2 linked regions of the Rattus norvegicus genome follow. The protein of the gene in region 1 interacts with the protein of each later gene in a biochemical or structural test. Links are inferred from orthologs where the notes say so. Each region holds a gene or a part of one and is shown on either strand. Other genes may lie near its edges. The genes, in order: Itgb2 and Icam1.

Evidence for each region.
Region 2: the proteins of Itgb2 (region 1) and Icam1 form a complex in vitro, tested with the Homo sapiens proteins (4 studies listed by BioGRID). The link is inferred for Rattus norvegicus from reciprocal best matches to the Homo sapiens genes ITGB2 and ICAM1.

What each region holds. Positions count from the first base shown.
Region 1 is NC_086038.1:11,069,401-11,073,211, reverse strand, and holds part of Itgb2 (integrin beta-2 precursor), read left to right. Parts: intron 1-348; coding exon 349-444; intron 445-2,882; coding exon 2,883-2,972; intron 2,973-3,811.
Region 2 is NC_086026.1:27,836,202-27,840,012, reverse strand, and holds part of Icam1 (intercellular adhesion molecule 1 precursor), read right to left. Parts: intron 1,993-3,811; coding exon 1,687-1,992; intron 1,031-1,686; coding exon 743-1,030; intron 238-742; coding exon 1-237. UniProt on the Homo sapiens protein: ICAM proteins are ligands for the leukocyte adhesion protein LFA-1 (integrin alpha-L/beta-2).

The sequences.
Region 1 (3,811 bases):
GTTGGCTATCATATCCTTCCACTATACATCATGGAGGTGAAGAGGTGGAGTCTAAAATCTAGCCCTAGTGGAAACGCAGGCACTTCCTAGGTACCCATACGCCAGTTCCTCGGGATACTGCTTGAGCTCTGGCTGGCTTAGCACCTAGAGTCGTGACTCACAGTAGCCATCACAATTATCAGTATTCTCTTGGCGGATTTCAAAGGATTTGGTTGGTTCCCTGCCAAGCCTGTCATATGCTTGTAGATCTGCACCAAGTAAAGCCCGGCCTGAGCAGGGGCCAATGCTCTGTCAGCCTGGACGTTTGCTTCGAAGGCTCGTCTGACAAGGTGTGTCCCCTCTCTCCAGGACTACCCGTCAGTGGGCCAGCTGGCCCACAAACTTTCCGAGAGCAACATCCAGCCCATCTTTGCAGTGACAAAGAAGATGGTGAAAACCTATGAGGTAAGTGGGGGCCTTGTGCAATGTGGCGACAAGGCCATCTCAGCTGGCAGTGACAAGCCGGGCCCTGCCCTTTGTTGCTTCAGTTCTGCTTTTCTTGTTGGCCTGTGGGTGGTGGGCCTGCCCAGTGGCCACAGTTTTCTGTCTGTGAGCATCTTGATGAGGGAAGTTGAGACTGTCGTTAAGCCACACAGGGTCCATGTCTTGAAATTTCACAGTGCTGCTCCCTTCTTTTGTTTCTTCTGGAACAAAGCAGTTTGCCCCCCGGCCCCCATCCCTCAAAAAGAAGCTTCTTTGAGTAACCAACATTCGAATGGAGCCAAACTCATATGTTGACCGCACCTCAGGAGACCTCAGTTCTGCCCACAGTGGGATACCTCCTTCCTATATATGTTGGTTCAGGACAAGTCTCCCCAAAGCACCTCAAACAAACAGAAGCCAAAGCTAAAGCAAACAGGATCTCGCTTGGGTTTGCCCTTGGCTTTGAAACGGTCGTCCATCCTCCTGGGGAGAAAGCAGCCAGCCTTGCTCTTTGTAAAGCAACCAAGCCTGGTGACCCCAAGGTTCTGCATCCAGCGAGCTCACCTCTATGGTGGCCCCTAGAGGAAGGTGCAGTCCTACACGTGTAGTTAGGAGACCCTTGGACCCTTCGGTTCATAATAGCATTTCTGTCTATTCTAATGGCAGTAATTGGGTCCCATGATGTCACCAAGCAAGAAGCAGCTATGGAGTTAGCAAATATTCACTGAGGCCTGGGGTGCCTCCCCAGGGCCCCTCGAAATGCTACTTGATGCTCATCCTGTGTTTCTGCTGCTGATGCTATGTCATGCGTGTGCGTCCCGCCTCGAGCCATCTGAGGAGCTGAGGCCAAATCCTCTAAGGGCAAGTTCACACAGGCCTAAGAGTCTCAGGTGTGACCAGTCTCCCAAGCCTTCTTCTCCCTGGCTTAGTGACTGGCTGGACAGGCCTGAAGAGTTAAGCAAACTAGACTGTCAGTCAGTTTGCCACAGTGTAGGGGTAAAGTCAGCGGAGACTAGAAAGGGAAAGGGCAAAGTCTAGGAGAGAGCTGGGGCTTAAGCTTCTGCGGCCCCTCCCCTTTCAGGGCTAATCTCATGACTGACCAGGACCTCCAGCCCCACCTGAGAATAAGTGGATCCTTCATGGCCTAAGGGACAACCCCTACCCCCTCCCCATCCCCGCACCTGCCAGGAGCTACTGCCGAGGCCTACCCTCTTTGGAATGTGTAGGGTGTAGGCAGCCCAACCTATGAACTGATCTTTACTGGACAGTGGGTCATGAGGGATTCTCTTCCTAGAAGAATCTCTGCTCCCAGGAGCTGCTCAGCCAGACCCTGAGCCCAGAATGAGATGTGTATATCTGTTATGTGACCCGAGACTTGGAAGACGATGACTGTAATCAATTTGTAAAGTCTGATGGCTCATTCTTTGGGATCGGAGAACTGCAGATCTCAGCCACTCCAGACACATCTAAAGAAGGGGCCCAGCTTGTTCCTCTGTGAGAGGCAACAGTGCTCACCTGGGAAGGCCACTGTGGGGACTCTGTGTTCCCAACTCAGAAAGCCATCGGATTGAAATGTCAGCTGGGGACGGTCACACCCAGGAGTGTGTGACCTCCATTCAGGGTTTTGGAACTGGGCTTCCTTCTAAGACAGGGTTTCTCTGTGTAACCTTGTGTAGTTCCCCCACCCTACCCCCTCTCTCTGTAGATTAGGCTGGCCCTGAACTCACAGATATCCACCTGCCTCTATCTCCCAAGTGCTGGGATTAAAGGCATTCACCCCCACCGTCCAGCCCTTCCTCCCTTTCTCAATCAGAACAGGGGATTGAATCTATGCTAGGCAAGGACTCCACCACCAGCCCACACTCTTGGCCCTTTATTCAGTTTTGCTTCTCAGACAATCTGGCTGAGTAACCCAGACAGACCCTGAACTTGTGAAGAGAGGCCAGGGACAATAGACCCAGCTTTTCAGGGCCTGGGTCCTGAGCTTCCTAGACCCAGCTCTTCGAAGCTTGATGTCTCTTCAGCTAGGGTGAGAGACTGTGACATCAGGCTGCTCCACCAGGCCTGGCTGTTTGTTTTTTTTGTTGTTGTTGTTGTTTTGTTTTTGTTTTTTGTTTTTTGTTCCAAGAATCGATTACTGGCATTCAGCAGTATAGCACCGACTTGTTTTACATCCTATGAGCCAGCTCATGAGAAAGGGAAGCTCTTTTTAAAATAAAGATTTATTGTATATAAATGCACTGTTGTTGTCTTCAGACACACCAGAAGAGGGCATCGGATCTCATTGCAGATGGCTATGAGCCACCACGCTGGGAAATGGTTGCTGGGATTTGAACTCAGGACCTCTGGAAGAGCAGTCAGTGCTCTCCACTGCTGAGCCATCTCTCCAGCCCTAGCTTGGTCTTCTTTCTCATCAACAGAAACTGACAGAGATTATCCCCAAGTCAGCGGTGGGCGAGCTGTCTGACGATTCCAGTAACGTAGTCCAGCTTATCAAGAAAGCCTACTACGTGAGTCTCCAGCAAAGTTGGCTAGGGGGTGGGGGGGTGGGGGGTGGCTGGCAAGGATCCCATGGGTCAGGGGATGAGTGGGGGGCGGGGCACATCCTCTTTGGGGGGGCGGGGAGGGGGCTCCTGCTGACATCTTCATAGCTTCTGGACCGGCAGGGCAGGGAGAAAGAGAGGAGGGTACGGAGAGAGAGAGAGCAGCCACTTTCCGCAGCTTGTGTCCTTTCATGGCCTGGCTGCTCTGTCCCAAACCCTACCTGGGTATTTCCTGAAATACCAACGGCAGGCCCTTCTTTTTTTTTTTTTTTTTTTGGAGCTGGGGACCGAACCCAGGGCCTTGCGCTTCCTAGGTAAGCGCTCTACCACTGAGCTAAATCCCCAGCCCCTTTTTTCTTTTTTTAAATATATATTTTATTTATCTATTCATTTAACATATGTGAGCACACTACAGCTGTCTTCAGACACACCAGAAGAGGGCATCGGATCCCATTACAGATGGTTGTGAGCCACCATGTGGTTGCTGGGATTTGAACTCAGGACCTCTGGAAGAGCAGACAGTGCTCTTAACCACTGAGCCATCTCTCCAGCCCCGGCAGGCCCTTCTTACTGGCTCTTCCCTTCAGCCACCATGGCGTAGCGGGGAGTGGCTGTCTGGAGAAGGCAGAGTGGTTTCTCTGGAGGGCGGAGGGACCCCAGACATCATCCCGGTAGCCTTGGACCTTGTGAAGACTCCCTTGTGCCTCTTGTCTGCCAGCCCTTAACCTTATTCTGGGTGACCCCTGACCCCTCTTCCGTCTTCCTCCTCTTCAGGGATGGGCAATCTGCCCAGATGCACCCAGATT
Region 2 (3,811 bases), on another chromosome or scaffold:
CCTCCAAGGCCGCAGAGCAAAAGAAGCGTCGTTTGTGATCCTCCGGGCTGGCATTCAGTGTGAATTGGATCTGTGAGGTGGGTGGCCTGGGGGAAGTACCCTGTGAGGTGGGTGGCCTGGGGGAAGTACTGTTCAGAAGCACCACCTGTGCCCCACCGTGGGCTTCACACTTCACAGTTACTTGGTCCCCTTCTGAGACCTCCGGCTGGCTCAGGGTCAGGATGGGAGCTGAAAAGTCTGGGGGCGGGACACACCGTGAGCTCCGCCCAATGCAAGCCCTGCCCTTGACCACCCAGCCTCAAGTATGGATGGACCCCTAGTCTCAGCCCCAATCTCCAGTATTGGCCATCCAGGAACTGGGACTAGCTGAAACTAGGCCTTTAGAAAGGTCTGGTCCCACACATTTTGAAACAAGGTCTCACTGTGTTGCCCTGGCTGGCTCAGAACTCATAAGGACCCTGCCTACCTCTGCCACCCCTGTGCTGGGATTAAAGGAGTGCTAAGTCTCCCTGCAGTTAGTTCTTCTATCTCTTGAAAGTGCCACGACTGGTGTGCCCCTGGTGGCAGTTCTTACTCCTGAATGGGCTACCAAGTTAGGCCACGCCCCTGAAAGGCCCACCTATGGTGTCAGTCCCACCCTTGTCAGTCCTACCTCTTTAGAACCTCCCCTCCCCCCACCCCCTATTGGTGTCAGTCAGGTCTCAAAATCACTTTCTTTAGACTAAGCTTCGCCCCTTCTTACTGTAGATTCTCAAGGTCTTCTCCATCTCCAGGGTCTGGTCCGCCAGCTCCAAAACACAGCGCAGCTGCAGGGTTCTGTCCAACTTCTCAGTCACCTCCACTGAGGCAGTGGCTGACACAAAATCTCTGCTGTTTGTGCTCTCCAGGGTCAGCATCTGGCCTCCCATCTCCAGGTATATCTGAGCTTCAGAGGCAGGAAACAGGCCTTCCAGGGAACACAAGAACTTCTGCTGGGTGCCCACCTCCAGGAGGTCAGGGGTGTCGAGCTTCAGGACCCTAGTCGGAAGATCTTGGGAGAGAAGACAGGCATGAGCAAATGGACTTCCGAGGTCTGTCTCTTTCTTTCTCTTTCTTTCTTTCTTTCTTTCTTTCTTTCTTTCTTTCTTTCTTTCCTTCTTTCTTTCTTTCTTAGATTTATTTATGTTATTTATATGAGTACACTTTGCTGTCTTCAGACACACCAGAAGAGGGCATCAGATCCCATTACTGATGGTTGTAAGCCACCATGTGGTTGCTGGGAATTGAACTCAGGACCTCTGGAAGAGCAGTCAGTGCTCTTAACCACTGAGCCATCTCTCCAGCCCTCCCCAGGTTTTTTAACACCAACTGCCCAGCCACCTCCAGAGCCACAGAACAAAAGAAGTGTGGTTCGTAACCCTCAGGGCTGGCATTCAGTGTGAATTGGACCTGTGGGGTCTACTCACAACCCCCCTTTTTCTTTCTTTTTATTCATTTATTTTCTGTGTATATGTGTGACTCACTTGTGGAAGTCAGAGAACAACTTTCAGGAGTCAGTTTCTCCTTTGGGAGTTGGAAACTGAACTCAAGTCATCAAGCTTGGATGCAAGCTCCTTCCTTTACCCACTAAGCTATCCTCTCCCCCGTTGCCGAGGTCAGCTTCCTCCCAAGAACCCACTTGCTCTCTGTGCAGGAATAGGGCCTCACCGAAAGTCCGGAGCTGCCTGACCTCGGAGACATTCTTGAACAGTGACAGCCCTTGTGGCCTGAGGTCCAGTTCTGTGAAGCATGAGAAATTGGCTCCGTGGTCGCCTCTGCTGGCCAGCACCGTGAATGTGATCTCCTTGGGGTCCCCATCCACTGCCTGGCGGCTCAGTGTCTCATTCCCACGGAGCAGCACTACTGAGAGCTGTGTCCGCGGTGCTCCGCCTTCCACCAGGCAGCGCAGGATGAGGTTCTTGCCCACCTGCTGCCAGGCGGGCAGAGGATCCAGCTCCACTCGCTCTGGGAACGCTGCAGGGAAACAGAGTTGGGGGATCCTGTGAGCTGGACTGCTGTAGACAGACCCACACCTGCCTAAAGACTTCAGTCTCCCCCAAACACACCCCACCACCTAAGCAGCCAGGAATGCAGAGAGCTTTGGGGAGAGGTAGGGAGGAGGTCAGGAGTGTTTGCACGACAGCGATACCTGAAAGGTGGAAATACACTCCAAAGTCTATCATTAGGAAACTGCAAATAATGTATCCGGTGTGCTAAAGGTTGACGGTGTGGTGGCCCAGCTTTGGAAGACCTGCCTAACGGACAGGAGGCCCTGGGTTACATCCCCAGTCCCAGGAATAAAATTAAATTAGATTAGAATGGGCCAGTGAGATGGCTCGGTGGGTAAACGTGCTTGCCACATAACCTGAGTGCCCAAATTCAATCCCTGGATCCCAGGCTGGGCAGTGGTGGCACAGGTTCTTTTTTTTCGGAGCTGGGGACCGAACCCAGGGCCTTGTGCTTCCTAGGCAAGCACTCTACCACTGAGCTAAATCCCCAACCCCGGTGGCACAGGTTCTTAATCCTAGCACTTGGGAGGCAGAGGCAGGTGGATCTCTGGGAATTCGAAGCCAGCCTGGTCTACAGAGTGAGTTCCAGGACAGCCAGGGCTACACAGAGAAATCCTGTCTGGGAAAACAGACGATCGATCCCTGCATCCCAAGTAAAGTTGGGCAAAGAGAATAACTCCAGAGTGGTCCTCTGGCCTCCATATGTTCACCTGGCACACCCGGGTCTGCACTCGCACATCATACACACACGATAAACATAACGAATGAGCTGGGTGTGGTGGTGTGCACCTTTAGTCCCAGCATTCGGGAGGCAGATCTCTGAGTTCGAGGTCTACAGAGTAGCTTGGTCTACAGAGTAGCCCTAACCAGGACAGTCAGGGCTACACCAGTGAGACCCCGTTTCTCTAAAAAAATAAGATATTAATTAATTAATTAATTAATTAATTAATAAAAGCCAAGAATGGCGGTACAGCCCGTAAGCCCACCCAAAGCAGGCGAAACCCAAGTCTGAGGCTAGCCGAGACTAAGTGAATTGAGGTGTGAGAAATCAAGCCACGCTTGTGTGAAAACTTTCTATAAGACTAATCAATTAAACCTTCAGGACAACAAAGAGTTAGGGTGTGCGGATCTAGGGCACACACAATTCTGTGTGCTTGTGAGATAGTAGTTACTAAGCTTCAGTGGTAAAAATCCCTGTGTAGAATCCCACACTGAGGGGCCGAGCCGAGTGGCGTGGCTCAGTAGTGGAAGCCCAGGGCAATTGTAAAGCCTTGGCTTCCCTTCTCTTTTCAGCCCCTGTCTTCCTTCCTTTCCTTTATTTTCCCTTTTCTTCCCTGTTTTGTTTGGGGTTTCTGTTGTTTGTTTTCGTTTTCTGCCTTTTGAGGCAGGCCCTTACATACTATAGTGAGCTTGGCCTCAAACCTGAGTCTATCCTGCCTTGGCCTACCCCAGAGCTGTGATTACGAGACCAGCACCGCATCCAGCACAGAGTCTTCCATTAGGCAAAGTGGCAAATTAGGTAATATATGTCTTTAATCTCAACGCTCAGGAGGCATAGGCAGGCAGATCTCTGTGAGCTGAAGGCCAGCCTTGTCTCCACATCAAGCTACTTAGTATCAAAAAAAAAAAAAAAGTCAGAGACTACAATTCTACAAATACAATATACAGTGGCCCTCGCCCCCCGCACCCCCCTGTTTAATCTCAGCACTTGGGAGGCAGAGGAAGGGGTAATTCTGTGAGTTGGAGGCTGGCCTGTTCTACAGAGTTCTAGCTCCCCTAGGGAT